Linked DNA regions of Pelodiscus sinensis. The protein of the gene in region 1 purifies or fractionates together with the protein of each later gene. This does not show direct contact. Links are inferred from orthologs where the notes say so. Each region holds a gene or a part of one and is shown on either strand. Other genes may lie near its edges.

What was found.
Region 2: the proteins of EXOSC10 (region 1) and EXOSC2 fractionate together in Homo sapiens (co-fractionation; 9 studies listed by BioGRID and IntAct, with this or other methods). This does not show direct contact. The link is inferred for Pelodiscus sinensis from reciprocal best matches to the Homo sapiens genes EXOSC10 and EXOSC2.
Region 3: the proteins of EXOSC10 (region 1) and EXOSC7 purify together in Homo sapiens (affinity purification with mass spectrometry; 6 studies listed by BioGRID and IntAct, counting the BioPlex papers as one, with this or other methods). This does not show direct contact. The link is inferred for Pelodiscus sinensis from reciprocal best matches to the Homo sapiens genes EXOSC10 and EXOSC7.
Region 4: the proteins of EXOSC10 (region 1) and EXOSC9 purify together in Homo sapiens (co-immunoprecipitation; 7 studies listed by BioGRID and IntAct, with this or other methods). This does not show direct contact. The link is inferred for Pelodiscus sinensis from reciprocal best matches to the Homo sapiens genes EXOSC10 and EXOSC9.

Annotation. Positions count from the first base shown.
Region 1 is NC_134733.1:11,594,743-11,601,957, reverse strand, and holds the start of EXOSC10 (exosome complex component 10), read right to left. Parts: upstream 3,009-7,215; 5' UTR 2,975-3,008; coding exon 2,822-2,974; intron 2,659-2,821; exon of another isoform or gene 1,364-2,658; coding exon of another isoform or gene 1,259-1,363; intron 716-1,258; coding exon 579-715; intron 69-578; coding exon 1-68. Other genes in the region: serine/threonine-protein kinase mTOR, read right to left, coding at 6,180-6,195, 6,893-6,998. UniProt on the Homo sapiens protein: Catalytic component of the RNA exosome complex which has 3'->5' exoribonuclease activity and participates in a multitude of cellular RNA processing and degradation events.
Region 2 is NC_134732.1:13,764,863-13,772,577, forward strand, and holds the start of EXOSC2 (exosome complex component RRP4), read left to right. Parts: upstream 1-4,701; 5' UTR 4,702-4,810; coding exon 4,811-4,935; intron 4,936-7,001; coding exon 7,002-7,103; intron 7,104-7,670; coding exon 7,671-7,715. UniProt on the Homo sapiens protein: Non-catalytic component of the RNA exosome complex which has 3'->5' exoribonuclease activity and participates in a multitude of cellular RNA processing and degradation events.
Region 3 is NC_134712.1:178,144,294-178,152,029, reverse strand, and holds the start of EXOSC7 (exosome complex component RRP42), read right to left. Parts: upstream 3,002-7,736; 5' UTR 2,757-3,001; coding exon 2,700-2,756; intron 2,302-2,699; exon of another isoform or gene 2,287-2,301; coding exon of another isoform or gene 2,278-2,286; intron 1-2,277. UniProt on the Homo sapiens protein: Non-catalytic component of the RNA exosome complex which has 3'->5' exoribonuclease activity and participates in a multitude of cellular RNA processing and degradation events.
Region 4 is NC_134715.1:37,047,829-37,054,756, reverse strand, and holds the start of EXOSC9 (exosome complex component RRP45), read right to left. Parts: upstream 3,021-6,928; 5' UTR 2,927-3,020; coding exon 2,861-2,926; intron 2,719-2,860; coding exon 2,624-2,718; intron 1,807-2,623; coding exon 1,687-1,806; intron 1,562-1,686; coding exon 1,459-1,561; intron 473-1,458; coding exon 335-472; intron 1-334. UniProt on the Homo sapiens protein: Non-catalytic component of the RNA exosome complex which has 3'->5' exoribonuclease activity and participates in a multitude of cellular RNA processing and degradation events.

The DNA.
Region 1 (7,215 bases):
GCTCTGTTGCTTTGTTATGATCTTTCACGTGACTCCGACAACCATGATATTGCATCACCTTGCTCATACTAATAAAACAATAGTTCAGTTACTCTTTAAATGACATTAAAAGCAGGTATTCTGAAAACTGGTGTTATTTGTTAAGATCCTTTCTGAGCTCTGGCTACTCCGAGACTTACAAAATCAGACACAGACTCCTTAGATACTGTTGTAAGAACTTTGAAAATGAGAAGCTATGAGTAAGTACTAAGTATTGCTATTAATTTCTTTACTGGGTCTATGGAACTTAGATTGGGTCTTCTGGTTAAAAAGTCACCTTTCCATCAGCCCATACCTACTCAGTGGCGCACCTAAATTGTTACAGTTACTTTACAGAGGTAAAATGAATGACTCCATTTTTATTGTTACCATTTAAATTTCATGAATCAGAAAAGCAGCTGACGTTTTTAAAAAGCAACAGAAAAATTGTAATAAAAATGCTCATATATTGTTTTATTTTGAAATTTGCAAAGAAGAGACTTCTCTGTTCCCTAACACAGATTTTCACCACTGGCATAAGAAAGCTAAAAAGTCCTTACCAGTGAAGCAGCCTATCACCTTGTGTTTCACAGTATGCCCGGAATCCAGGAAAGCTGCGATAGAAGTCATATTCATCTCCAGGCTGAGGTAGCCCATTAGATGCTTTAGTTGCAGCGACCACTGTGCCAAGCGCATGCTGTTAAAAAGCATCACACCAAGAAAATATAATTCCACAATGTATTTTCATTTTTTGATGATCTTGCCAGATGAACACCTTCCTCGCACTTACATTACTATTACAATCTCATTCCTCGCACTTACATTACTATTCCTAAACCAAGCCACAACTAGGCCTTTTTAACCAAGAGTGTTTACAACTATTTCATCCTGACTTAATTAAACTAATACTAAAAAAATAAAAGAAAAACCTTACACCGAAGATATTTTGATTTAATAAAAATATGGGTATAATGGCTACAACTTCAGAACTAGGAAGTGCTGTCTCTAAGGTGGGGGGGGATTTCTCAAATGTCATTGCACTGTGAACCCTTTCTGAACTGAAACCTGAATCCACCCAAGTCCCACCACCATAGGTTTTGGCCCTGGATGGTAGGGCTCAGGGCTGAAGCAAGTCTAAGCCAACCCTGGTGACCACATTAAAATGGGCTTGTGACCCATAGTTTGAGAACCATTGCTCTAGGCCATATCTAGACTATAAAATTAAATCAATCTAACTTACACTGGTACACAACTGCTGGAATAATTGCATCGCTTGTGCATGTTTACACTTTGCTCCTTGTGTTACTGGTGCATTTGTATAGATTTTACTGTCACTGTGAAGCATTTAGGGAAGCTAGTAACAGTCTATACAATAATGTCATGTGTACACTGTTACTGAATCAATGTAACTACATTAATTTTGATTCTATGCTACTAAGTGGTGAAATTATTGGGGCAGTTAAGTTGGCAGGAGTGAAAGTCTGGACACTTTCATGGTTAGGTCAATGTAAGATGCCTTGCATCAATCTAAACTCTGTTGTGTAGACCTTGTGTAGCTCAGATTTTGGTCTATAAGGTGCATGGGTGAGGGAACATGTAGGAATTAAGTTTGTAGTGATGGCAACACTATGGTTTGTAAATCAATTTGTAGAACACTCTGTCAAGCTTCAGTTAACAATTCCTTTTAAAAGTTCATCTATATGCTAAAATTAAGGTCTAACGGTTGAACACATTTTGAAAGCCATTCTTGCTGTACCATAGTGATAATTTAAGAATACAGAGAATCCCACCACACCAGTGCTGCCAAATTTGTGGGTTTCTTCTGAATTTTTCCTGTTAAGACAAATAACTAAATTTAAGGATGCTTTCAGCACCACAGCCCATTCATGAGCTACTACAGGTGTTTATGTCCTATTTATCTCACCACCATGATTCTAGTTCTCCAGACTCCCCTGCAGGGAATGCCTTAGCTCAGTGTTTGAGAAAGGCTGCGGAGCCCCAGGGCTCTGCAAGGTTGACAAACTGGAAACATCGATAGGTACAACACATACAATCAGTGGACCGCTGGGGCTCCGCATAAATTTTTACACATGTAAAGGGCTCCGGAGCCGAAGACGTTTGAGAACCGCTGCCGTGGCTAATTTGAAAGGTTATGCGGACAACTTCCCAGGAATGGGAAGACAGTGCGATATTCGGAAAACAGGAGACTGCAGCCGGGGCCCACACAGACAACAGGCCCGCGTGCACGACGCTAGTCCCAGGGCCCGCGGCTCGCACCGCTTCATTTAACAGGCCTGCAAACGTGACACAAGTCAGGCCAGTGGGCTGCAGGGGCCCCCCTCTCCCAGGGCAAAAGGAGCTAAGGCGGCGGCGCCCAGACACCGGGAGGCCGTATCGGAGAGGGAGGGGCGGGCAGACAGGAGCTGTGGGGGGGGGGGGGGGGTAAGGTCCGTCACAGCTCCAGAGGCTGCTGCAGCAGCGGGGCCGAACCCCCACGCAGTCGCCCCAGGCTCCCCCTGCCTCCTCCGCGCAGCCGCGATGGGTGGCCCAGGCGCAGCGGCGGGCTCAGGGTCACTGCTCCCGGCCCCGCTTCCCCTCAGAGCGAGGGCCCCGGGGCGGCAGGGCCATCCTCCATGACCCGGCAAAGAGAATGCTGGGAAATCCAGTGCAGGCAGCTTCCCCTCAGGCTTCAGCATCAGCAGGGTGGGGGGAGGGAAGGAACTACAGTTCCCGGCATGCCCCGCTGCAGGGTTTGCCGCAGAGCAGGCTGGGAGTAGTAGTCTGCAGCGACTCCTTCACGCACCTTGACGAAGGAGTCAGCATCCCTGAACCCCGGTAGAACGGTATCTGGGCAGCCGCCCGGCGGCTCCTCCGTGCTGCCGCCACTCCCCGCGTCTATTAGCTGGCTCGTCTTAACGGCTGCGCTGCGACTCCCGCCTCCGCCGGCAGCCGCCATCTTCCGCGCGGTCCCACGTGACGCGTCAATGGCTTAGTCTCGCGATAACTGAACCGGAAAAAGGGTGGGGGGAGTGTGTATGGTGGAAGTGTTGCTAGACGCATGCGCATTGAGGTGTGGGCGGCAGACTTGCAGGGTCCCTGCCTAAGAGCGGTAGCGATGCAGCCGTGTTAGTCTGGTCTAGAGCGAGCGAGGGTCCTGGAGCGCCCCTTGCGGCGTGTTCCGGGGGCGCTCAGCCCAGCACTGGCTATACGCCACCCTCCCCCCCATTTGAGCTCAGCCACTCTCGGCCTAAGCCAAAGCCGCTGTGACCTGGGGAGTAGGGCAGGTGCCCGTCTGGCTGAGCTCCAGGAGCCCCTACTGCCGGCTGCCCCACCTGCGGCCCTCGGGCAGCGAGCCTGTCCCGTACCACGCCTCCCTCTGGGCAGCAGCTTGGCTGCACCTTGGAGGGTGTCCACGCTGCTCCCCATCGGGAGGGCTTAAGCCCTTTCTGTAAATGGACATTTCCTGCGACAACCCGGTCTAATCTTGACCAGGCTGCAGCCTGACATAAGGGCACGCGGGTGAGCTGGCTTTGATTCCTGGAGTTTTCTGTACAGGTTAGATGCGTGGCACACACTTCAGTCTACCAGCAGATGGAGACTACACCTCAGCTTCTTACCAGTGACATTCCTCCACCAGTATACAATCTTGGGGAGCTGGTTCTCTCAAAGCAGGAATGATGAAGATTAAAACAGGTGAAACTTTTTTTCCCTATCCCTGTCCAGACACTTGGACTGTGTCTAGACTGCATCCCTTTTCCGTAAAAGGGATGCAAATTAGACACATCGCAATTGCAAATGAAGGGGGGATTTAAATGTTTAGATGCCATATTCCTTATTTTAATAGGAATAAGGGATCTTTCTGAAAAGGCTTTATTTTCCGAAAGATCCGTGTCTAGACTGGTGCTTTTTTCCGGCAAAGCTCTGAGCCGGAAAAAAGCGGCAGTTATGTTTATGCAAATGAAGCGGGGGAGATTTAAATTTACGGAAAAGGGATGCAGTCTAGCCACAGCCTTGGTATTTCCCATATATTTCTGTGGCTAGTGTAGTATTGGATACAAAATGATAATGGATCTTTCTAACCTTAGCATCTTCGAATCTGTATCAATAGAAAATGTTTGCTAAGAAGAAACAGCATAACCACCATCCCTTCCCCATATACACCACAATGATAAGATTAAAATTCTATGTACTTGGTCTCTCAGAATCAGTTTCTTGTAACGAGAAAAAAATGCCCCAAAAGCTAGAATAAAGAAACTTTATTCTTACCAAATTACAGTCCACTTAAGAACATTGTTTTAGTTTCCAGCAAGAGAAGGATATTGGCTTTTGAGAGGAGCTGTTATAGAAAGACCTGGAGAATAGGATGGGTGCAGAAGATCACCAATGCGGAATTATGTAGGAAGATATAGCTGAAAGAGAACCTACTGCAGAAAGTTATACAACGGAAGTTACAGCTATTCGGGCAAATCTGCAGAATGAACGACGAGCGAAAAGTTAAGACCCCGGTATTCAGCATAATGGATGGTCCGAATAGGAGAGGCAGACCCCACAGAGAATGGGTAGATTATATAGTAAAATGGTGCGGAGCTAGTCTACAGAAGCTAAGCCACTCCGCACTGGACAGGGAAAGATGGAAGGAAATAGTGAGGGAGGCATTGGACACCAACGGGCACTGAGCCCATGGTTATTGTTGATGATGAAACGCAACTAAGTTTATTAACAGTTAAACTCCTTTGATAAAGGTACCCCAAGTTTTTTAGTGATACCCCATACTCTGCCAACCGTGTTTGTGGCTCCTGTAGGTTTCTGCTATGGGTTCTCAAACTTCATTGCACTCCAATCTCCTTCTGACAATAAAAATTACTGCACAACCCTAGGAGAAAGGACCAAAATCTGATCCCCATTGCCCCAGGTCCATAGGCCAAAAACAAAGCCCTAGGGCTTCAGCCCCAGAGAGGACACCTGTTACTGCAGCTGCACCACCCAGGGCTAAAGTCCTTATAAGCTTTGTCCCTGGGCAGTGGGCCTCAGGCTTTGTTTTCGGCCCCAGCAAGTCTTCATGTCAGGCCTGGTGACCCCATTAAACCAGGTTCAGGACCCATAGTTTGAGAACCGCTGTCTAATGTAATACCTTTGTGTCTCAGTTGTGCTCTCCACAAGAAATGCTTTGGAATAACCAAAATCCAGTCAATCTTTTAACATTTTGGTGTATTTTATTGACACAAAAATATTCAAATACAACATGGCATCTAAACATGGCTACGCTTTTGTATTTTGTGCATTTTAATATGTTTTATTAATAAATCATAACTTTATTTACCTTCACCCTCATGTTTAATATGCATTATTCTTCATTTCCAGGTATGACCAGTTCTCCCTTCTGCTTTTTGTGCTGAGTATTCAGTTTTCCCTAATTATTTCCCAGCACTGCTTTTCAGTCTGCCAGTGTGGGAAGTTCCCAAGTGATATTCTGATTTACCTTGCCATCTACCCTCTTTCTTTGAGACATTCTGCTCTGACTGGCTCAGAGGCTTTGACCCTGGATCTATCTCTATATTTCACATCTGAAATGTGCTAGATAAATCACCCCTGGAGTCAGACACACATCTTTCAACTACAATCCCTTCCCTCTGTTTTTGGTGAGAGTACAGAGTTTTGGGAAAGGTGAGATAATGGGGTAATACTGACAAAAAACCTCCTCCTTCTTCTTGCTCTCTACCTTCCAGCTCTGTCCCACACTTAAATGTGCATTCTCGCATGAGGGCACTGAGTTCACTGCAGCCACGCCAAAAGGACTGACCTGGGAATGATTCAGCTGCAAATATTTTAGTATAGTTACATTGTAAGTCAAGTCAAAACCCGTATTTTGTTATTTGTAATGGATCACCAGTTCCTCAAAGACCAAGTGAACCAGGTATTTGTGGTCTAGTCAGTCTTCATTGTTCTGGAAACCCAAATCAAGTCTTGTGTTTCATATAACTTGTGTTTTTCAACAGCAGCTATGAATTGGCTTAAACCAACATTTAATATACAATAACTCTTAATTTACATTTTGAAATATATGACAGGCTGTATTTCAGTCCAAGATTTCAGTTTGTAGAAGAATATATCTGGAGTGCAAAAGCCTCCAAGAAAGGCTGAGGATACTCTGGAATCTTCTGTTACCAAAAAGGACACCTAAAGATGACAAATGTAATACTTTAAGTGCAGTCTTAGCCATTGCTCCATAAAAACAAAGACTATGTTAAAAAGAACTTAGGTCCCCAATGTCCAGGAACCTTTCTAAAATAACAAGGACACTGAAAATGGGATATGAGACAGAAAATGCTTCTTAATCCCTAACATTCCTAATGTCTGTAATCCCCCCCAAATCGCCCACCAGGATTCATAATTTGCATACAATTTACAGTTAAATCTCAGAAAGATGAAGGCATTGTGAAAGTGTGCTTGTTGACATTAGACTCTGTAATTTCCCTCCTATAACTAGCAATTGGTGATCTACATACAATAGGAACATCTTGTTTCAAATGATTAAAAATTCTGAGTTGATCATCATTTAAATAAGCCCCTTTTCTTTAGTAGCAGACTGCTTGCCTGCTTACGGGCAGTGCCCGCGGTGATGATTCTAAATCAAATTTCCATTTTGCTAGATTTAACAAATCTAACTAATTTGCATTTTGTTAGATTTAATATAATGGTCACAAAAGTTTACAAGCTTACATACAATATCTCCCCAGCCATCCTCAGAATGATTATTGAGATAAACCTAATAATATTTTACTTGACTGTTCTCCATTCCATAAACTCATACCACTATTTATTTCAGAGAAATGGGAGAGAAGATTTTGAAAGGACAGTTTAAAGACAGACTCACCATCCAATGTAGCACTGGCAGAGATTCTCATGCGAAGTAGCTTGCTTAATAAGCAATTCTACTTGCGTGGGTACATCCAGAGTTTCATCGTGAGAGAAGTCTCGGCCTTTACAATTAAAGTGAAAAAAAAAAAAACCATTAAAGAAGGATGTAATCCAAATTACATAGTTTAGTTTGGGTGGCAAGTTGTGGAGCGATATGAAGATGACCCTCTCTCCTCTTATAAATATATATTTGTCACAGAATTATTCAAAGATGACACCTCAAAATCCATACTGAATCTATTTTGAAACCTTTAGAACACTAGTGTTTTCGATGATCCA
Region 2 (7,715 bases), on another chromosome or scaffold:
ATATTATATATTATTTGATGGTATATGTACACAGCTGTAAATACATTTGTACCTCTCTCGCTTGTATTCTAAATAAAAATTACTTGGAACATTTATCATTTAGAAGGTTATTCGTTTGGGAGTTTTCTTTCTCTGTATGTGCTAGGAAAGAATAATGATGGTTTTGGGAAAGGGCTAGTGGAGCTTCTCCTAGTGGGTATAATTGATAATTTGCTTCTTTTACCCCTGTACGGTTTACAGGATCCTAGCTTGTAGCTGAGTGAAATGAACAAAAGATCCTGTTATACAGGAGGTCAGACTAGATGATCAAAATAGCCTCTCTCCTGGCCTTAAAATCTAGCATCGGTTTCATGCATTTTGGACAGAGCATACTGCTCAATCCAGATAAATTATTTTCAAGACCCATCATTGCATCTAGAAAGATGATGGTTTTAAAATATGGAAAAAACAATTTATGCATATGCATGTGCACAGAGCCAGAGACACAAGGCACTAATAGATATGCAAGCACAGTGTGTTGAACCCATTTTCTCCTTGCTTATGGTGTTGAATATGTGATAGGAGGGTGAGATCACCTGCGAAGATCAGGTCTTCAAGGGACGAGATGGGTGTCCATTTAATGCCTCTTGGCATATCTTCTGTTGTATGCTGCATTATCCAATTGTCTCCTCTTCAATTTTGTCTTCAGTAACAATATTGAAGGGAATTGCAGACATGACACATCCCAGATATAGTCCTGTTTTGATTTCAAACGGAGCTCTGTGATCAACATGTAACCCAGAGGCACTGAAATCATTGACCCGGGAGAGTGATGTCTGCTATACAGCCTTCACTAAGCGCCAGATAGCTTTTTAGCTCATGTGGTCGAGCCCCAAGGCTTTAGCCCTTAATGTCTCTGGTTCAATCCTACAGACAACCTGGGCTCGTCAGCTCTACAAGCAGAGGCTCATCCGGGATTTGACTCGCCCTTCCCAGTGATCTCAGTGCTTCTGGGTTACATAAAGTTGGAACAGAAGTTTTTGATGATGTTGATTATATGGAGAGGGATTCCCTATGATTTTAGAATGCACCATAGGCTGGCCCTTTGCATTCCTTCAAGACGTGGACTTTGCAGATGATTTTGCTCTTTGATCGCATACCAACAAGAGAAAAACAACTCAACTCAACACATTCAGCCAGCAAATTGGACTGAAAATCAACTGCAATAAGACAAATATCATGACTTTTAATATTGCCACACCATCACCTGTACAGCTGGAGGATCATGTTCTCACCAATCTAGAATCATTCACATACTTGAGCAACACCATCAGCCAGGATGGTAGGAACAAGCCAGGGCATCTGAACAGACTCAGTTAAGCCAGGAACCCCTCCAGGAGTTTAAATACAGTCAGAAAATAATCAAAATGCCAACACCAAAATCAAACTCAAGAAGTGTCTACGCAGCGTCTTTTCACCATTACTTTAGCGGGAAGAATGCTGGGGGATGAGAAAGTATCACATGTCCAAACTGTCTTCATTCCATACAACCCACTGCCGAACAATCTTTCATATCTTCTGACCCAGAACAATCTCAAACCAAGGTCTATTCACACCGTGAAGCCAAGCACCATCATAGCCAGGAGGCTCTGGAGATGGATTGGCCATGTGCTTCAGATGGAAACTGATTCTATCACCAGAGTAGCAATAAGATGGACACTTGAAGGCAAGTGAAAATGTGGCTGTCTGAAAACAACATGGCAAAGGGCTGTGGAAGCTGAGCTGAAAAAAATGGGGCACAGCTTGGGAGCCATTGAAAGACTTGCCAGAAACAGACAGGAGTGGAGGAGTTTTATCACTGCCCTAACTACCAGAGAGCTACGTCTACACTGGCATGGTTTTCCAGAAATGCTTTTAACAGAAAAGTGTTCCGTTAAAAGCATTTTCGGAAAAGTGCGTCTAGATTGGCAGGACGCTTTTCCGGAAAAGCACTTTTTCCGGAAAAGCGTCCGTGGCCAATCTAGACGCGCTTTTCCGCAAAAAAGCCCTGATCGTCATTTTCGCGATCGGGGTTTTTTTGCGGAAAACACTACTGTGCTGTCTACACTGGCCCTTTTCCGGAACAGTTTTCCGGAAAAAGACTTTTGCCCGAACGGGAGCAGCATAGTTTTTCCGGAAAAGCACTGATGATTTTACATTAAATTGTCAGTGCTTTTCCGGAAATTCAAGCGGCCAGTTCAGACAGCTGGCAAGTTTTTCCAGAAAAGCGGCTGATTTTCCGGAATAACTTGCCAGTGTAGACACAGCCGAGGTGTAAAGGGAATATGACGATGAAGACAAATTCCTGCAGAGGTACACAGGACTATTCCCACCTCCTTCTGGAATTAACTAGCCTTTAAAGACAAACACAGCCATGGATCACAGATCAAGATTTGCTAGTGCCCTGCAATGCTGAACAGGGCCTGTTTGCAGCATACCATGTTCTAGAGGCAGTGCACAGCTGCTATCCTAATCAATTCCTGTCCACCGTGCTTAGGATACATGTGGGTATCACCAAATGGTTCTCTTTGCAAGATCAGGTCTACAAATCTTTTTAGCTTAACTTTGGAATGTGCGGACTTGATTCTTTCTCTCTAACAGCAGAGCTGTTAGGAGTAACACCGCTCTCAGGGTGAAAACAGAATCCCACTCTGTAATTCAGCACAGCAGCAGAATCGCAGAAAGAAATACCACAATCTCGTTCTTATGAACATGTACCAGTTTATGTTTACATAGTGCCTGGCCCCATGGTGACCTTATCCTGATTGGACCCTCGGGGTGCTATCACAGTGCAAATATTTAATCATAATAACAGCTGTTGTTTGATATAGCCCTCTACTCAAGTGGGGAAGATAATTTAGCTTACCAGATGGAAGCCTGTGCTGCATTTAAACTTAATGCAATGGGAAGCACTGGCTGATGACCATAGTATGATCTCTCTCTTAAATCCCTAAGGCCAGGTCTACACTTACCCTGAGATCGAGACTTTGGAGATGGATCTTCCAGGATTCAATTTAGCAAGTCTCCTAAGGACCTGCCTATTCAACTGCTGATAGCTTCCTTGTCGACCCCAGCACTCCACTGGGTCACAAGGAGTATGGGAAGTAAATGGGAGAGTTTCTCCCATCAACCATCTACACTGGGGATGCTGCAGAAATTTGACTTAAGGAATGTCAACTCCAGCTATGCTATTCTCGTAGCTGGAGTAGCGTATTTTAGGTTGACTTTCTGGAGTAGTGTAGACCTGGCCTAAGTGACAGTATGGCTAGGAAAATGAAAAGAGCTGATTTTTCTTAGTTGTAAAAATTAATTTCTTAATATTACATCCTTTTTCCTTTCTATATTATGTAGATAATACATTCTTGCAGTTTGAGTCAAACCAGTGGCGTTCACCCCATGGGCCACTTGCATCCCAATCTGTACACATCTGCCTCAAGGCCATACGGGTAGTATATACATCATGGATGTGGCTCATGTAGCACATGGAGAGCTGCATGTGTGGCCCACAATGGTAAATAGGTTGAGAACCACTGAGTCAGATACTTCCTGCCTTACATGGCCATGTAGCAGTGCTCTGAGCTGTTAAACAGCTGCTGTGTATCTGAGTAGACAGTGACAGCTCATGAAAGGGTTGTTGAGTGCTTGGGATCTGGTTTGAAGGAGCAGGGACTAGGGTTACCAGATGTCTACAAAAAAAATACCGGGCACACTTGATCTCAGATCGGAGGAGGGGATGGGACCAGCCGGGAAGGGGTGGGGGGGGAGCAGGGCTGGCTGGGGGAGCTGGGGGGTGGAGAACCGGCCAGCAGGAAGCAGGGCAGGCTGGGATGGGGGAGGAGGGGAAAGTGGGGGGGGGAGAGAATCGGCTGGCAGGGAGTGGGGCTGGCCCGGGCACATGCAGATCCCGGGGTGCTGCTCATCCCATGCACGGTCCCAGCGTGGTGCACGGGCGAGTCCGGCTCCGGAGATTCAACCCCGCTCCGGCCCTGACCCCTCTCTACTGCGTAGCTGCGTACTGCCTGGCTGCTAGACACACTCACGCAATGTGGACTCACGCAGTGTGAGCGTGTCGACCAGCCAGGCAGTACACAGCTACGTACTGATACTCATAATAATACAACTAACTTGATTAGAAAATACCGGACATTTATAGGTCTGGTATTTTCTCAATTTATTTACCAGACAGAAACCTCAAATTCTGGACTGTCCAGTTCAAAACCTGGCAACCCGAGCAGGGACTTTAAGGAAAACAATCATTAGCACGAGAATTGAGACGAGTGGCAAAAGCATGAGAGTTGGCAACACTGCTTTGCCGCTCCCCAAGGTTTGGCAGGCAGGCGCCTGCTTGCTGTTGGGCATGTGTATAGGGCCCGTGGGCTCCATAGGGATGTGGGGGGCGAATACACCCAATGCACAGAGTTCCTATGAAATACTGTCTCTGGGACGTACCAACATGTGGCCTCTCTTAGGGGAGGAGGCATCTTCCTGTAGCCTTAACACCTCCCCTCCAGCACTAGAGGGCACCACAGCCTAGGCAGCTTGCCAACACTAAACATGGCCCTACCCTAGTCCTGCCTACGCAGCGAAGACTATCCCCCCCTCCCCTGCCAAGATCCAATATGGCCTCCCCAGCCTCATCGCTGCTGAGGCTCGTCCAGCCCTCATTCAAGATGGCGACGCCCCAAGCCAACAGGGCAGCTCCCCGCGCGTGCTGTTGCCAGTAACAGACATGGCGGAGGGCACGGCTGATTCGGACGGGCGCTGAAGCCGAAGGAAACGGCCAGGAGTTAAGATGGCGGCAATAGAGGTTCGGTTGCCGGTGGCCCGTAAGCTCGCGGGCCAGAGCCAGGCAAGAGGGAGCGACAAGCACCTGGTGGCTCCGGGGGACACGATCACCACAGACACGGGCTACATGAGGTGAGGGGCCTCCCCCAGGTTTCTTCTCCCTCCGGTGGGGCCCTTCCCTTATCTCAGAGACGGAGCCTATGGATGGGGCAGGGCCATAGGGTGTGGTACGCCCCTCCCCCCCATTGCATGGGCTGTGGGGCAGAGCCCCTTATCCCCTCCCCGTGGTATGAGCTATGGGGCAGCGTCTCTTATCCCCCCGGACATGGGGCTGTGGCACGTCCCCCCCCCCATTGCATGGGCTGTGGGGCAGGGTCTCTTATCTCCCAACCAGGGGGCTAGGGTGCAGCCCGATCTCCGTCCTCAGGGTCTGGGGCAGGGTGTTTTGTCCCCCTGCATCCCTGTGGCAGCCCTTTATCCCCACCCATTCCAGCAGCTAAGGCTATGGGCATGGTCCCTGTATGATATGTGAACAAAAGTGGTTCTGAATCCCCAACATCCTGGACAAATGAGAGATTTCTGAACCCTGGGTTCTCTTGATCAAGTCATTTCACTTCTTTCTGCCTTAATTTCCTTACCTGTAAAAATGGGTTTTAGGAGAGGGTTTCTTCCCTCACACCATCCTGGTGGCAGGGGTTGTTGGGAATTAACAGAGTTTTCCTTCAGTCCCAGTTTTTTTTGAAGGGCTGCTCTTTCCAGTGCTGTAATTAGGTATTTTTTGTGCCTGGGGCAAAATATTCATTATGCACCCCCCTCTTCCTTAAGTTAGCATGTGTCGCACTTTTTACTTTTGCAGCTTATTATTTTTACGCTTTGTGCTAGGGATGTAAGCAACTAGTCGAATAGTTTACTACTTAGTAAGCCTAGGCTTCTTGGGTAGTCAAGTCATTAGTCACGTCTCTCTCCTCCCCCCCTTGCTGCCTCTATCAGTGGCAGCAAGGGGGGGAGCAGGAGCTAGCGCTGTGGAGGGGAGCCAGCTTAAAAGCTGGTTCCCCCAGCACCATCTCCGTGGAGGGCAGGGGAGGCAGAGATGCAGCAGGAGACCGGGCATGAGCCGGGACTCGGTTGTTCTGGCTTGTGCCCAGTCCCAGATGCTATGCCTCTGTCTCTTAAATGTAGTAAGAGCTGCAGCAGGCTAACCCTGCTGCAGCTCTGCAGTTTCCCCCTTATTGACCAATCAAGTAGTCGATGGAAATTCCATCAACTACTCAATTAACTGATTAAATGCAATTTAACATCCTTTCTTTGCGCTCTTGATTATGATGTGCCTGGGGTAAGCACCCTGCTTGCCCCATCTTTGTTATGGCTCTGGCTCTTTCTTCCCTGCCCCATTCTACCCCTAGAGTCCAGTTGCAGAAAATGACTTCTCCTCAGGGTTGGGGAATGGGGCCCCAAGGAAGAGTTCACGCCGTGGGTCATTGTGGTTATTCTGGGAGGCCCTGAACAGTTGCTTGCCTTGCTTGGGTTTCCCCTCCAGTCCACCTGACTGGTGAATGAAGCGTAGGGTTAGGCCAGACAATAAGCGGCTTGAGCATCTGCAGGTATGGCTGCTTGCAGCTTTTGTTGGCCACAGCACATTGTTCCCAGCCAATGGGAGCTGCAAGTGGCCTTACCCACGGACACGTAGGTAAATAAAGTGTCCGGCGACCTACCAGGGGTTAACCATGGTGAACTGTGCCTGGCTTGAGGGCCACTTATTGCCCACCCTGGATTAGGCCCTTTTAGACCTTAATGTAAACTTCTCAGTGTCCCAGACTGTTACTTGCCTTATGCTTAGAGCTGGTCCTAATCACTCTGTGTAGAGCTGTGTTGAGAACGGAACTGATCAGACTCACTAAAAGCTGCACCATTTGTGTACCTGAGGAAGGAGGCTAAGCGGTGTCACCACATGAAAGTATCTTTATTTCACAAACCCTTCACTGGGAATGGGGAAGAGAGAGACAGATCTCATCCCTCCCGTGGTGGAGAAATAGCTTCCTTTCTCTTTCCTGTTTTAATTTCAGAGAGCTTGGGAACTCTTTTCTCCTAATAACTCTGGGGCTACTTTAAGCCTGGGGTGTGAAAGCATGGATTGGCTAACCCCAGGGTGGTAGAGATGGCAGATGTGTGTGGATGTTTGATGTATCCTTTTACGGCAGGGGCCATGGCACGTATATGGGAGATGAGAAACTTATAGCATCTGTCGCAGGCGCTGTTGAGAGAGTGAACAAACTGATCTGTGTCAAAGCTCTGAAAACCAGGTGAGAACAGGCTTTGAGACCAAAGCCATTTTTTGAACCTATTTAAAAATCAAATGTTCCCTCTGTGTGGGATATTCCAATTCCTAGCAATGTGTTTCCCACTTAAAGACTTAGAGAAACAGGGCATAAGCCAACAGATGGTCTCAGTGTGTGTCCAACAGTGGGAGACATTTGGAAATGGGTTGGGGGTGAATGTAGAATTTGTCAAACTCTATCAGATCAATGCTTCTATCTACACCAGATCAGTGGATTGTGTAACCATATTATTCCTGGATTGTCAGACCAGAAGGGTCCATTGGACCATCTAATCTGACTTGTGTAACGTAGGTCAGAACATTTCATCCACTAACTCCTGTTTTGAGCCCAGTTATAAATAATAAATGTTAGTACTGGAAACGTTGATGCTGCAGTTTGCACAGACTCCAGTGCTGTGACTCTTGCCAGCTTGGCCCTGCTTGTGTTTTTAATCAGTGTCATGCTGATACGAGTACCCAAGTCAAGCAGTATCTGAGCTACTCCGGGAAGAGGTTTGCTTGAATAGAATTTCCCTTTTTCTCTTGCTCCCAGATATAACGGGGAAGTTGGTGACATTGTGGTTGGGAGAATCACAGA
Region 3 (7,736 bases), on another chromosome or scaffold:
TGGATTGTGACCTAGGGCAGTGAATTGGGGTATAGCAGTGGGTGCAGGGATTTGGGTTGGGAGCTAGGGCAGTAGGGGATTGTGATCTGGGGCAGGGGATTGGGGTGCTGGATCTGGCAGGGGATATGGGTACAGGAGGGGGGCAGAGGATTTGGGTATGTGGAGTAGGGCCCAGGAGTGAGGGTCAGAGGGTTGGAGAAAGAGGGGCTGGGGTGCCAGAGGCAGGATCTGGCCAGGAGACTTACAAGCCAGCAGCCATTCCTGCATCAGCCTCTCTGCCTGCCCAGTCCCCAAACAGGCTGCAGCCTGGAGCACCTTGTGCTTTGTGGCTGCCTGTAATTGAAACAGGCAGCTCCCACCAGCCAGTTTCTGGCCAGAAACCGGCCAATGGGATTGTACCGGGATGAGAGCAGCTCCAAAAGCTTTCCCCCCTCCCCTCTGGACTCAGTTTTTAAAGAAAAAACGCCCCACAGCTGCATTTCTGAGCAATGTGCGCATAGGATAAGGCAAGTGGGGGGCCTGCCTGGGGCTCCCTGCAGCATCTGCGGGCCAGATCCAATGGCTTAGCAGGTTGGATCTAGCCCAAGGGCTGGTTTTTGCCCAGGCCTGCTTTAAAAGCAAGAAGATAGATAGGGGATCCCCAACTATCCAACATAATCACTAGGACACTCTGGATCTCCTTTAATGTTAAAAACATCAGGCATCCAGGCACACAGATGAGTGTGGCCTGCTCCTGAATAACCCAGGGAGAAAAGAGTGGGTTACACAGGTTTAATTCCCAGTTCGGACACTGACTTCCTGCATAAACTATAAAATGGAGATAGAACATAATACTACTCATTTTCTACACTTAGTTTGTATTGTGCATTAAAGCCCTGATCCTGCAATAAGCTCCATGTGGGCAGACCTCATCAGCTTCAATGCAGCTCCTTATGCATAAACAAGAACCTTATGTCCACAGCTTATTGCAGAATCAGGACCTTACATAGCAACCTCTTCAAGGAAAGAGCTTTGTGTTTTGGTAGCACCTAGCATATTGGGGCTCTGATCTCGGTTGGGTCCTCAGATTTAACATTTTTATTAAAGCTAATGTTAGAATTATATAATACACAGGTTAAGAAAAGAATGTCTATACATTGAGATGTAATGCTTATCAGATAGTCGACTAGTGATGTGACTAGTCGCTTCCCCTGACTTGCTGCCTCTATCCGAGAGAGGCGGCAAGTGGGGGAGCAGGTCCCAGTGCTAGGAGCCAGCTTAAAAGCTGGTTCCCCTTAGCACCATCTCCTCGGGGGGCAGGGGAGGTAGAGGCACAGCGGGAAATGGCGTGAGCAGAGACTGAAGCTGTCTCTGCTCGTGCTGCAATTCTGTTTTTCAAATATACAAGAGCCCCACTGGGGCTCTTGTACATTTAAAAGGCTGAGGCAGGGCTTCCTTTGAAATGTAGCAAAAGAATGTGTTTCTGCAGTGGCCAGTTGGGTGGACCTCCAGGCTGCCCCAAGCAGCTGGCTCCAGGTCAGCTGCTCAGGTGGCCCCAGGGACAAACACACTTGCCATTTCTGGAGAGGCTCTGCACTAATGGTGCAAAAATGTGTTTATTTTGGTAAACATGTAACCGCTGAAAATTTCAGCAGTTACATACTTGCAGATGGAGGAGGCGGGAGCTGGCTCTTAAGTTGGCTTTCCACGAGCACCTGATCCTGCCTCCCTCCCCAGGCTGCTGCCTCTTTATTAGAGGTGGGGATATTAAATATCAATTAACTTAATAGTCGAGTAACCTCATTAATTCTTATAGGCTAGTCAACTATTCTATAGCCCCCAAGGATGGGACTGGCAGCCAGTGCCCCCTGCCACTCCGTGTTTCTATTGCTATTTTAGAGGCAGCCGCAGGAGCTGATCCACGAGGGGAGCCAATTTAAAAACCAGCTTGCCTTGCGGACTGGCTGCCTATTGTCCTGCACTGCTGTCTGATAAAGAGGCAGTAGTGCAGAGTGGTAGCAATCCCTGTGTGGGAGGGTCTGAGTTCCCGGACCCAGTATGAGCCAGAACTGAGCTGGGTTGCCTACCTGCCCAACTCCTAATACAATTTAAATGCAGAGCCACAGCAGGGATAGGTCCCAGACCCGTTGCAAGCCGAGACTGAGCCAGGCTGCTGGCCACCCTGCTAAGAAATTTAGTGGCGAGGGGAGGTGGGAGGGAAATGCTTGTCGTCTGGAGCATTAACCTACAAGCTTTTGCTGATCAGTTAATCGACTACACTATTACAGCCCTACTCACAGGCAGCATCTCAGATGCGCTGGCTCTCCCCCCCCCCCCCGCCTGATCAAGAGGGCTGCAGTAAGGGTGAGGGTTAAACAGGAGCCCGGGCTACATCTCTACCCTGCACCCGGCCGCTTGCACAGCCCCGCAGCCAGCTACGCGGCCTCCGCTCGGCCGCCCCGGGACCAGCTGGTGCCCTTGGCCCAGGGGCGTCTCCCCCTCCCCCACACTCAGTCAGTGCACGAGCGACAGACACGTCACAGGAATTGTATCTACGTAGCCAACAGTCGGGTTTGAGTTTCGGGCGGCGCGGCTCAGACAGCGACGAGCCGTGAACTGAGCGGGGGGGGGGGGGGCGAACAGAGACCGGGGCGCCCCTTCCCACGGCCGCAGGGCGGCACCCAACTGTCCGCCCCCCGCGCAGCCCCGCCCCCCGTTACCTGGATACCGTGCACGATGTAAACCTTCTCCGCCTCGCTCAGCACCACGGACGCCATGATGCGCGCCGGGTTCCAAACACACCGGCCGCCGCCGCCTGGTGATGCCGTCACCAAAACGCGACGACGCTAACTTCCCCGTCGCTTCCCTGCCGTCCCTCCACCCGCACGGAGTTACGTCAACCGCTCGCGCGCGCCGTGCGATGCCTGCGGGCGGGCGCGTGCACCGCCCTGTGTGGGTGACTCAGAGTCACTGCGGGGCTGGGGCTGCGCGGGAGCTGCTCCCACGTGGGGATAGCAGGCGCGCAGAGGGCAGAGCCGGATGCTCTGGGTGGACGCGCCACGTGTGCGCATGCGCAGCTCTTAATCTGGGCGGCCTGCTGGAGGGGTGCGCGTGTTAGTGCAAGGGCGTTGTTGGTCCGCATTGTGCCTGGATGCAGAGCCCTGCACATTGGGGATGGCAAAACCCGTTATTACTGTAACCGTGTAGCCGGTCAAACCGGTTACACGGTCACTCGCTGGCTGCCAGCCCACTTCCAGGGAGCCAACGACCTGCCTAGCCCTGCAAACTCATACAGGGCAGCAGAGCAGTGTGGCTGTCAGCGCCTCAGGAGCCCTGCATACTGGGAGCCAGCTTTTAAGGTAGCTCCCCATTAGGGTTGCCAAGGTCCAGTATTGAACCAGACAGTTTGGTATTTTCGCCTCCTGTCCCATAAAAAAAATCAAAAAATACCTGACACCTAAAATGTCCGGTACTTTCTGATTTTTTCCCAGCCAGGAGGCGAAAAATCTCGGGCTGTCCAGCTCAATAAGGAGGCAGCCTGGCAACCATAGTGCTTACCAGGGAGTTGTCTGGCCCAGTGCAGGGAGGCAAGATGGCGGGTGGCTGCTGGTAGCCTGTTAGGGCCAAAAAGCCTTACCACATGTTTCTTAAGAGGGCCATGCTGTTATTTTTATTTTTGCTTAACTGTCAAAGGGGGGACGGTACTTTTTCTGAAACCATCTGGCAACCCTATTCCCCATCATCATGTAGATGTCTACAAGATTAACTGATAAACCTGGCTATCGGTTAATCCTGTGGTCTACACGCATTTCATCTCCCCCCCCCACACACACACTCTTGCTGCCTCTATATCAGTGGCTCCTGCGGATCTGCCTTCTCCCACTTACTGCCTGCTATATAGGCAGCGGGGGTGGGTGGGGAACAGACAGGAGTTGGCTTAAAAGTCAGTTCCTCCCAGCACCAGCTCCTCTGTGCTGCCCCCCTCTATGAAACAGCTTCTGTCCATGGCAAGCTTGGGCCCACTGCAGATAGGTTGTTGTGCATTCTATAGAGCAGCCTTACCTAGGCCTACCGTGAACAGAGGCTGCTCCATGGCAGCAACTTCTGTCCACAAGGAGCTCAGCCCCTCCCTCCCACCCCAACAGATCGTGTGACTAAGGTATCATCTCAAAGGCACTTCTCTCACTTAACGAGTAGACCACTACCAAATGTACTGTTGATTTTGGTCAATTTCATAGTCACAGGATTAAAAAAAAACCATAGGCATGGGTGGTCAGTAATTTAGGCAAGGGAAGGCAGAGCCTTCCCAAAATTGCTCACAAGACCAACTGCCTAAGGCTGGGGCTGCCAGCCTGGCTCTCCCCAGCCACCGGGGAGGCATCGGGCCACTGCTTGGTAGCCCGGCTTCCCCTTTCCACTGGGGAGGCATGGGGCTGCAACTCGGCAGCCCAGTTTCCCCCCGGCCGCCAAGGAAAGCTGGGCTGGGGCTGCAGTACGACAGTCACAGCTCTGCACATGGCCCAGAAACCTCGAGTGGAAGGGGACAGAGCTCGGGCTTGTCTTCCCCAGCTGGCCTTTCACCCAACGCCCATAACCATAGGTTTTGTTATTTCAACTATTTAAATCTGAAATTTCAATGTTGTAACTGTGGGGGTCCTGACCCAAAAAGGAATGGGTTTTTGCAAGAGGGTTTTTGTAGTACTGCTAGTACCCTTCTGTGGTGCTGGTACTGGCAGTGGTGCTCAGCAGCTGAAGAATGGTGACTGCTGGCCGGTCACCCAGCTCTGAAGGCCAAGCTGCATGTAGCAGCAGTGCAAATAAGGATGGTATTGCCACCCTTCTGCACTGGTGCTTGTAGAGCTAGATCCTCAGTCAGCAACTCTCTGGCCACCCCACTCTGAAGGAAACAACAGAGAAATAAGGATGGCATGGTATGGTATTACCACCCTTCTACACTTCTGCTGGTGGGGTGCTGCTTTCAAGCTGGGCATCAGGCCAGCAGTCACTGCAATCCATCCACCCAGTTCTGAAGGCAGCACAGAAATAAGGGGGGGATACTGCAACCCCCCTAAAATAAGCTTATGATCCCTGCAACTCCCTTTTGGGTCAGGACCCCCAATTTGAGAAACTTGGTTTCCCCCATGAAATCTGTATTATATAGGGTATAAAAACTCAAAAGATCAGATTTTACAAGGGGAGACTAGCTTTCACAGTTCATGATGAGTTTTTCATCAAAGCATAGGGCTGGAAGACACCTCAGGAGGTCATCGAGTCCAGCCCCAAATTCATGGCAGTGAATTTGGTAGGACCCTTTAATGAGTGTTTTAATATTTTGTTTTTTCCATATAATTCCATGTGTGGCCTTGTGCCTTATTTAATGCATGCCAATCAAATCCTGCTGTAAAGACAGAATTATTAATTGCCTCATGGGCTTTGGTATGATGCTTCGCACTGTATTGAGTGAATCAGGAATATGAATGAATTTATTTTCACAAAATCCATGTATGATTGAGATAGTATAAATATCACCATTTTACAGATGTGAAACTGAAGCTGAGAGAGATTAAAGTGAAAAGTATCTACTAATTTTGCTACTCAATTTAACATACCTAGGATTTGATTTTTTTTTTTTTGAGTACATGGTAATATATAGTTAGGGATGTAAGTGACTAGTTGACTATCTGAATAGCAAATGCTTATCAGATAGTCGAGTAGTGACTCAACTAGTCGCTTCCCCCTCCTTGCACCATCTTGGCGGGGGGTGCAGCAGGAAACAGCACAAGTGGGGACTGCTTCAGTCCCCGCTTATGCTAGTTCCCTCTATGGGCTCTTCTGCTTTTGAAATGTACAAGAGTCCTGTGGGGCTCTAGTACATTTCAAAAGCAGTCCCCACTCACCCTGTGCTCTCTGCGGCAGCCCAGAGGCATCAAGCCTGTCTCAGAGGCAGCAAGAGGGGGACAGGAGCCAGTGGAGAGCCATCTTAAAAGCCTGTTTCTCCCAGCACTGTCTCCGGGGTGCTGCCTGCCCCTCACCCCGCTGCCTCTATCAGAGGCAGCAGTGCGGGATAAAGAACACTGCTACGAAGCAGCCTCCGTCTGCAGGGGTCCTAGCGGGGAGCTGGGCCTCCCCACAGACAGGGGCTGTTGCTACCAAGCAACCCCTGTTCAGGGTGGCCAGGCCGGGCCATGGGTAGGGGTTGCTCAGCAGCCACCCCTGTCTGTTGCCAACCCTGTCTGCCATGAACAGGGGCTGGTGTCTGAGTAGTCTGTGTTTGCGGTGGACAGGGCTGGTCGCCGCAGACAGGCTGCTCTGGCACCAGCCCATGTCCGTGGCAGACAGGGCTGTCTTCTGTAAACAGGGGCTGTTAAACTCATTGCAAGCTGGGACCAAGCATTCCCATCTCGCACTGATCACTGTGCCTCTGCATTTTAAATGTAATAAAAGCCCAGCAGCTCTTACTGCATTTATAATGCAGAACCACAGTGCGGTTGGCTCTGGAGCCAGCATGAGCCAGGACTGCTCTGTCCCGGCTCAAGTGGGCTCCTGGAGCTACCCAGGTGCCAGACTGAGGGGGGGGGGGGGTCACCACTAGGACCCAGAGTGTAGAAAATTGTGTCTGCTGCTGGTGCATGTGTATTTTCTCTGCAGAGGAGTAGAACAGGAAGAGGGCAGAATTGAAACCTTTCAAAGTTTTGGCCCAAGCAAGGCGGCATGGGGGTGTCATTTGAGCTCCCCACTTTGGGTGCCAAAATGTTGTGGGCCAGCCCTGGAGCTACCCTCACTGCAGCTCTGCAGAGCAGCGCTTATCGACTAATCATATAGTCAATACAAATTGTTTAGCCAGATAATAGCATTTTAACATCCTTATATATAGTATTTCATTTGTTCAAAGCATAGCTCTCATCTACTTCAGCTGCAGTTGTGCGAATAAGCGCCAACTCTTTGGGGTGGGAAGAGGCGGGACAGAGGTGGTGTAAGCTTGGGGAAAGGGATGGAGTAGGTTCAGGACCCGGGGGAAATCAGCATCTGTGTTTGAGTGTGTTCGGCACATTTGAAAATCAGACTCCAGTTGAGAATCTTGCATCTAGTACCCAGAAAATAAAAAACTCACAATTAGTGACTACCTGTAAAAAGTGTAAGTGACTTGACTAGCATCATGTCAGAACTGTCTGGCTCAGGCAAGAGTTTTCTTTAGTGCACAACACTAATTCACGCTCAGTAAGTCTGTCCTGCATATCGAATGAGGCCAGGATTCAGTGGGAAAACTGTATGTGATTAGAGCTGCATTGTAATGTATGTGCACAAGAGGTCTGTCATTTTGGGGACTTGATTTTCTGACTGTAATGTTCTTTTAAGATAGACTTTTTGGCTACGTCTACACTGGCCCCTTTTCCGGAAGGGGCATGTAAATTTCAGCAGTCGTCGTAGGGAAATCCGCGGGGGATTTAAATATCCCCCGCGGCATTTAAATAAAAATGTCCGCCGCTTTTTTCCAGCTTTTAAAAAAGCCGGAAAAGAGCGTCTAGACTGGCCCCGATCCTCCGGAAAAAGTGCCCTTTTCCGGAGGCTCTTATTCTTACTTTGAAGACCTTACTTTGAAGTAAGAATAAGAGCCTCCGGAAAAGGGCACTTTTTCCGGAGGATCGGGGCCAGTCTAGACGCTCTTTTCCGGCTTTTTTAAAAGCCGGAAAAAAGCGGCGGACATTTTTATTTAAATGCCTCGGGGGATATTTAAATCCCCCGCGGATTTCCCTACG
Region 4 (6,928 bases), on another chromosome or scaffold:
AGTCCTAAAAATTCATCAAAACTTGATTCTTGCTCTTTTTAAAATGTTTTCCAAAATATTACCTATGTAGGTAACTATACTGCATCCACCATAGAGCCAATGGAGCGTTTCCAGTTTGATTGAGAAATACAAAAGAGTGCTATAAAATTGTCTTCCTTATTTAATGTTTAAATAGTTACGATCTCTCAAACTGAAAACCAAGAACTGTTTTAAGTAGCTCTTCCCCTAAGATTTAATTTGTCTTTATTGACAAAGATCCATTTTATATACAGAAGCTATCATGAATGATGTTTTAACTTCAACAATACCACTGCTTTCCTTTTATCCTACTCACCAACGTTACTTCCTCTCCTTGCACAGATACATCTGGTCTACGGAAGTGACATAAAGCCACTATTGCTGCTATACTTGCAGCATCAATAATGTTTCCATCGTGATTCAACAAATGCAGGTCCACACGAATTTGCCACACCTAAATTATAAAAAATAGGTGACAATTCATGAAACTGTTGTATGACTGGTAACTTGTATTGATTTTCCAACACCTTTTCAAAATAACTTTTTACTATTCATGTTGAATGGAAGTATAAATTTATTTCTTGATCATCAAAAAATTAGGATAAAACATATCTGAAGAGAAATAGTATCTACTTTCAATACTGATTGCGATAAATTAAAATTGAAATATGATTTCATGCAAGTAATTAGCTTTAGCATGTATATAGTACCTGTTCGAGAAAATAGGTGACCCAGGAGCGGATGGGTTAAAGGGACCTTTGTATTGCTTACGCATGTTTACTTTGGACCCCCAACAAAATTTTCCAAGTGGCAATGATTTGGCACCAGTTACACTCGTTTATCTATTTTGGTATGTTAATTCTCACATTTATTACTACTTTTTATAAACTCTTATTTAGCAAAGTTAACTTCCATACAATGAATATTAATAAGCAGGTGATGAATACAATTATGCCAACCTCTGTTTGTTGTTTACTGGTTTTTAATTAAATTAGCATTACATACTGTCTTAATTAGCAGCTTACAGGGAGGGGGGAAGTGCTCTGACCCTTCAAGTATTTTTACAGAGCAAGTGTAAAGACAAAACAAAGAAAACGGTATTCAGTGCAACTATCTCCCTAGGCTTCAAGGACAAAAGGGAAAAAAATATACACAAAAAGCCAAAATGCTTGCTCTGGCTAGAACCCCTATCACTATTGTATCTACCCCCCCACACCCCGATCCCTATTCATTTTTACATATCCCAACAGTCCCACTGACTTTTAATCTACTATGTACAATCTTTAAAGTTAGACACATATCTATGTTTGCACAGCTGAAACCATAGTCTTTTAAAATAAAATCAGAATTTTTGGTCCTCAAAGACAGATTGACCGCTACATGCAATATATTAGTCCTCTAGTATTAAAGATCTTTTGATTTTATTAGTGTTTTTCACACCTTTACACCAGCAACAACACAGAGAGATTCAGTGTCTATACATTTTGAGTTTCTGAGGCATCTTTCTAATAGTCGATTCAGTTTCACCAAAAGCTCAGATTGCCTAGAAAAACAAACAAGAGATTGGTTACATATCAGTTGTGAGTTATAATAATCCTGATAAATATGACACTGAATAGCTTTCCTTATGCCATCCTTGTCTGTTGTCACTATGGAAAGGGCACATACCTGCCAGGCTCAAAAGATGGTGAAGCCATTGGAGAGAGCTCAAGATTGAAGAAAAGTATACCCTCTGTAGCTCGATTTAGCTTTGGAGAAACAAGTTCACATGAAACTTGTCCAAGGACTCTGCAAAAGAACCCCGCCCCCCACACAAACCCTTTAGTATAGATAACAAAATACTTTAGTATAGATAACAAAAATAATATTTAATTAAATTTAATATTGAAACAACTTGCACCTGAATTTTACTGCATGGCTCCAATTTATTACTGCTTATGTAAGCCTTGGCCATACAGCTAAAATGCTAGTCACTAATAGGGAACAAGCAAGAGCTAGATGTGAAGAGCACACACTGGACACTCAAATTCCTCGGCTTTATTATCAATTCTACTGCTGTGTGAGTGCCAACAATTTACTTGTGTCCAGTGTAAGCTGTGTGCTTGTGTGGCTTGCTCAGGAGAGATTTAAAGGCCTTCTGGCTGATTGGAAGAATGCCTACAACTAGTTTTTTCCTCCTACCGGTGGTGCTCATTCAAACATGCCTCAGTGTGCATAACATAATTTATTCCACACATGGATGGGAAAAGATTAAGGGAAACATCGCTTATGATTACTTCAGCTCCTCCAGTCTATACCATAGAGCTACCACCTACTTCGCACAGGTGCTGCAAATTTGCTTAATTCGAGATGTCGGGCCGGAGGGATTAATGAGTTGCCACTAGCCAAGGTCAGGTCTACATGCACGTGACTGGCTCATCTGCCGCTTCCGACGCGGTAGCTTCGGACACCTCCAGGGAGACCGATCTCAATTTGTTCTCCTCTCTCCCCCCCTCCCCCCATTCATCGCTGTCGCCTCCCCCAGGCTGTGGCGGCCCCGCACCGCGTGCGCGAGCGTCATGGGAGCCCTGCGCCGGGCGCACGGGGCGGGGTTTCCCCGCGGTACCTGGTCCTGCCCAGCTCCACGACACAGCAGCCGTAGTCGGCGCCGAAGGAGACGCGCACGTTCCTGTAGTCGTAGCTCTGCCGCCCGTCCAAGCGCTGCGGAGCCGAGAGCAGAGTCACCAGCTGCGCGGGGCGGGCGCAGCATCGGGCCCCGAGCGCCCATGGGAGGGAAGGGGAGGGGGGGGCTTGGCCGGTGGCGGCGCCGCCGCCGAGTGGGGGGGGGATTTCTCTCTCGTACCTTCCTCTCCTCGATGGCGCGCAGCAGGAAGCGCCGCTCGCAGTTGGACAGCGGCGTCTCCTTCATGCTGGCGAGGCTTGGCGGTCTCCGGGCCCGCTTCTCCGCGCGCGCGCCTCCCGCACGTCATCAAGAGGCGACGGGACAGGCGGACAGCCGTGCGCAGGCGCGGAAAGGAGGGGGCGAGGCACGGCATTAGGAGAGCGTCACCGCTCCTTTCGCTAGCCGTGGTGACGTCGCCGCCGCCCGGGCGCGTCTGGGGCCACAGCGCCGGTATTCTACGTCAGCAGCCGCAGGCTGAGTCTCCACAGCCTGCAGAGCTGGGGGGAGGGGTGTCTGTGACGTGGGACGCGCGGACAAATGTGTCCGGCCCAGCCAGGTGCGCCCGCGAACATTCCACCTTCACCCCGCCGGCCGGTCTCGCAACACGCTGCCCCGTTGTGTAGGCAGGGGGGGTGCTGCCTAGCAGCATCGCCGCTGCTTCCTGCACAGTGGCAGGCTCGGGGTAGCTGTGCAATCTGTACCTAAACAATACTCACTGTCAGAATATGGTCTGAAGAAGCGGGTCTGCCCCACGACGCTCATCCCCTAATAAACTGCTTTGTTAGTCTTTGAAGTGTTAGGACATGGCTGCTTTTTTGTTTTTTTGAAAAAGGGTAAAACAAGGAATAGCCCTGTCGCACCTTAGAGATTAACCAAAAATAGAGATCCTATCATGAGCTTTCCTAGACATAACCCACTTCTTCAGATGCCATCTGAAGAAGTAGGTTGTGCCCATGAAAACTCATATCATCCACATTTTTTTGTTTTGTTTTGGTTAGTCTCTAAGGTGTTGCAGGAGCATTTGTTGTTATTTAAGTTTTTTATTTTATTTTGGGGGAGGTTAGATAGTTGAGGTAAATTGGAGCTAAGTAACAAGATAGAACATTGGGTGTGTCAACACAGCAAAGTTATTTCGGAAGAATGGCTGTTATTCAGAAATAACTGAGTAGCTAAGCAGCAATTCTATTATTTCGAAATGATTTTGAAATAATGGACAGCTTAATTCAACTTCTGTAAACCTCATTCTAAGAAGAATAACGCCTATTCCGAAATAGCTGTTTTGAAATAAGGCATGTGTAGACATTCCACTTGTGCTATTTCGAAATAGCCCCTCGCTAGGGCCATTCTTAATTATTCTTCCTGAGGCTCTAAATTGAGATAACACATCTACATTAGGGAAGCCTGCCTTGGACTAATTTTGAGACTTCCCTGTAGTGTTGGTGTGCTATTTTGAAATAAGCTATTTCAGAATAACTACAGGCAGTCCCCGGGTTACGTACAAGATAGGGACTGTAGGTTTGTTCTTAAGTTGAATCTGTATGTAAGTCGGAACTGGCATCCAGATTCAGCCGCTGCTGAAACTGACCAGCGGCTGACTACAGGAAGCCCGAGGCAGAGTTGCTCTGCCCCGGGCTTCCTGGAATCGGCCGCTGATCAGTTTCAACAGGCTTAATCTGGACGCCAGTTCTTACATACAGATTCAACTTAAGAACCCCAGGCGTCCCCAAGTCAGCTGCTGCTGAAACTGATCAGCGGCTGATTCCAGGAAGCCGGGGCAGAGCAACTCTGCCTCGGGCTTCCTGTAGTCAGCGCTGGTCAGTTTCAGCAGCAGCTGACTTGGGGACGCCTGGGGCAGAGCAGCTTGGGTGCTGCCGGGTTGCTCCAGTAGCGCCGCTCTTCGGCGCTACTGGACCAACCCACCAGCACCCAAGCTGCTCTGCCCCTGGCGTCCTGATTCAGCCGCTGCTGAAACTGACCAGCAGTGGCTGAATCAGGACGCCTGGGGCAGAGCAGCTGGGGTGCTGCCGGGTTGGTCCAGTAGCGCCCAGAGCGGCGCTACGGGACCAACCGGCAGCGCCCCGGCTGCTATACCACAGGCATCCAGAGCAAAGCCGCGGAGCACGGGGGCAGCGGGACAGCCGCGGCGCGTCTGGGCTGTCCGCTGCCCGCGTGCTCCGCGGCTTTGCTCCGCTTTGCTCCCCGTCTCCCTGGTCTGTGCGTCTGGGCTGTCCGCTGCCCGCGTGCTCTGCTGTTTTGCTCCCCATTTCCCTGGTCTGCTGGAGACCAGCAGACCAGGGAGACGGGGAGCAAAGCCTCTGAGGACGCCGGCAGCGGGACAGCCATGGCGCGTCTGGGCTGTCCGCTGCCCGCGTGCTCCCCGGCTTTGCTCCCCTTCTCCCTGGTCTGGGGAGACGTGGAGCAAAGCCGCGGAGCACGCGGGCAGCGGACAGCCCAGACGCGTCACGGCTGTCCCGCTGCCGGCGTCCTCAAAGGCTTTGCTTCCCGTCTCCCTGGTCTGCTGGTCTCCAGCAGACCAGGGAGATGGGCAGCAAACCCCGTTCGTAAGTGCAGATCCGACATAAGTCGGATCTGCGTAACTCGGGGACTGCCTGTATTCCAGAATGGCTTATTCTGAAATAACTGTGCAGTGTAGACATAGCCACTGAGAGTCAGGACTGTTGGCTGTAAACACAATTTACGGGACCATGGGAAATTTGGCCACACCCAGCATAAGTGAACATCTGGCTAACTAAAATCATGCCATGGTTGATGTTGGACCAGAGCGTGCTGGAGTAGAAATGTTCAACCCATACCTGGTAGAGATTTGGTTAAAAAGGCTAAACCACCACAAGAAGAATGTATCCAATATGTAGAAGTAGCGAAGACTTAGAGCTTTAGCCGTACCACATTAACAGTTACATCTTTGAGGATAGTTTTGGCTACGTCTGAAGTAACCATGAATAAAATAGCTATCATAAGACAGGCCACTGGTCATTTTCTACCTTATATTCATAATCTTGTAGTACAGTCCAATAATATATTAACTAACCAAAAACTAAAAATACTATACAGTTCCAAACTAGTGTGAAGCAGGGAAAGAAAAATCATTTTGCTGTGTTAAAAATGGTGCAAAATAATACCCACTGTCTACACAGCAAACATGCAATATTAAATAGATTGTAATTTGAGCCTCATTACTTGTCTAGCTTTTGTCCTCAATCCTGCAATTTGACTCATCACAGGTGCAGACATATGGGGAGCCAATTGCATTACTGCAGCCTTATTTGCTAATTGCAAAAGCTTTGGGTTTCAAAAGAAGCAGCTTTGATTTTTTTTTCTTATGAGTTAGATTTTAGTTCTAATTTGAAAGTACTATTAGTAATTTCTGTTATTGCTCTCGTTTGTCTATACTTTGCACAAAATATGTTAGGTTAAACACTACTGATCAAGCTAAACACTACAGTGAAGATTAACTTCAGTGCTTTATTCTCTTTCTCTGTTCAGAGCTCCAAGGTGTTTTTACAAACTCCAATTTAGTCCTGACCTTCTTTTAACTTGAGTATTTGTGCGTCTAAACTTTTTCTAACTTTCTTTGCTATTATATGCTGAACTGTTTCTAGATTTAGTTTATAAATTATAAATACAGGAGCTAGTGGAATTAATGCTTTCACAAACTCTGTGTTTTTATAATTTAACAACAGTATATGATGCATTTTATAGATTTGGCCTTTAGTAATAATCCTAGCCCCATCTCAATCTGCAAAAGACCCTACTGTTCCATTGTGAAAAGTGTAGAGGTTGGGATAAGATTATAGGATTGCCATATGTTTGGAATTGGTTTTTAAATCACTTTAGCTTCAACAGAAAAATGAGAAGCTGCTTTGGTTTTTTCCTTGTAATATTTTTTTAAACAGAGGTCTTTATTTAGATTATTTTGGTCTTTATTCGTTTTATTTTTTTAAATTAAGATTCTATATGTATTTTTGCTGATACAACTTGGGTCAGTGACAACGTACTCCTTTCGAAGAGTGACTGAGGGCCAGACACTCTGCCATTCCCTCCTGGATCCAGAGACGTGAGGTGAGTATGTGTGGTCCATAGTGATTTTGGCACTTACTGTGTCACCTACCTTGTTCTGCTTTCTGACTGGTGATGGCACTGGGCAAACCCCATCTCCTTCCTCTACTTCTGCAGGGAGCAGGAAATCCAGCCAGGGTCTGGCCAGACAATAGTGGCTCACTGACCCAA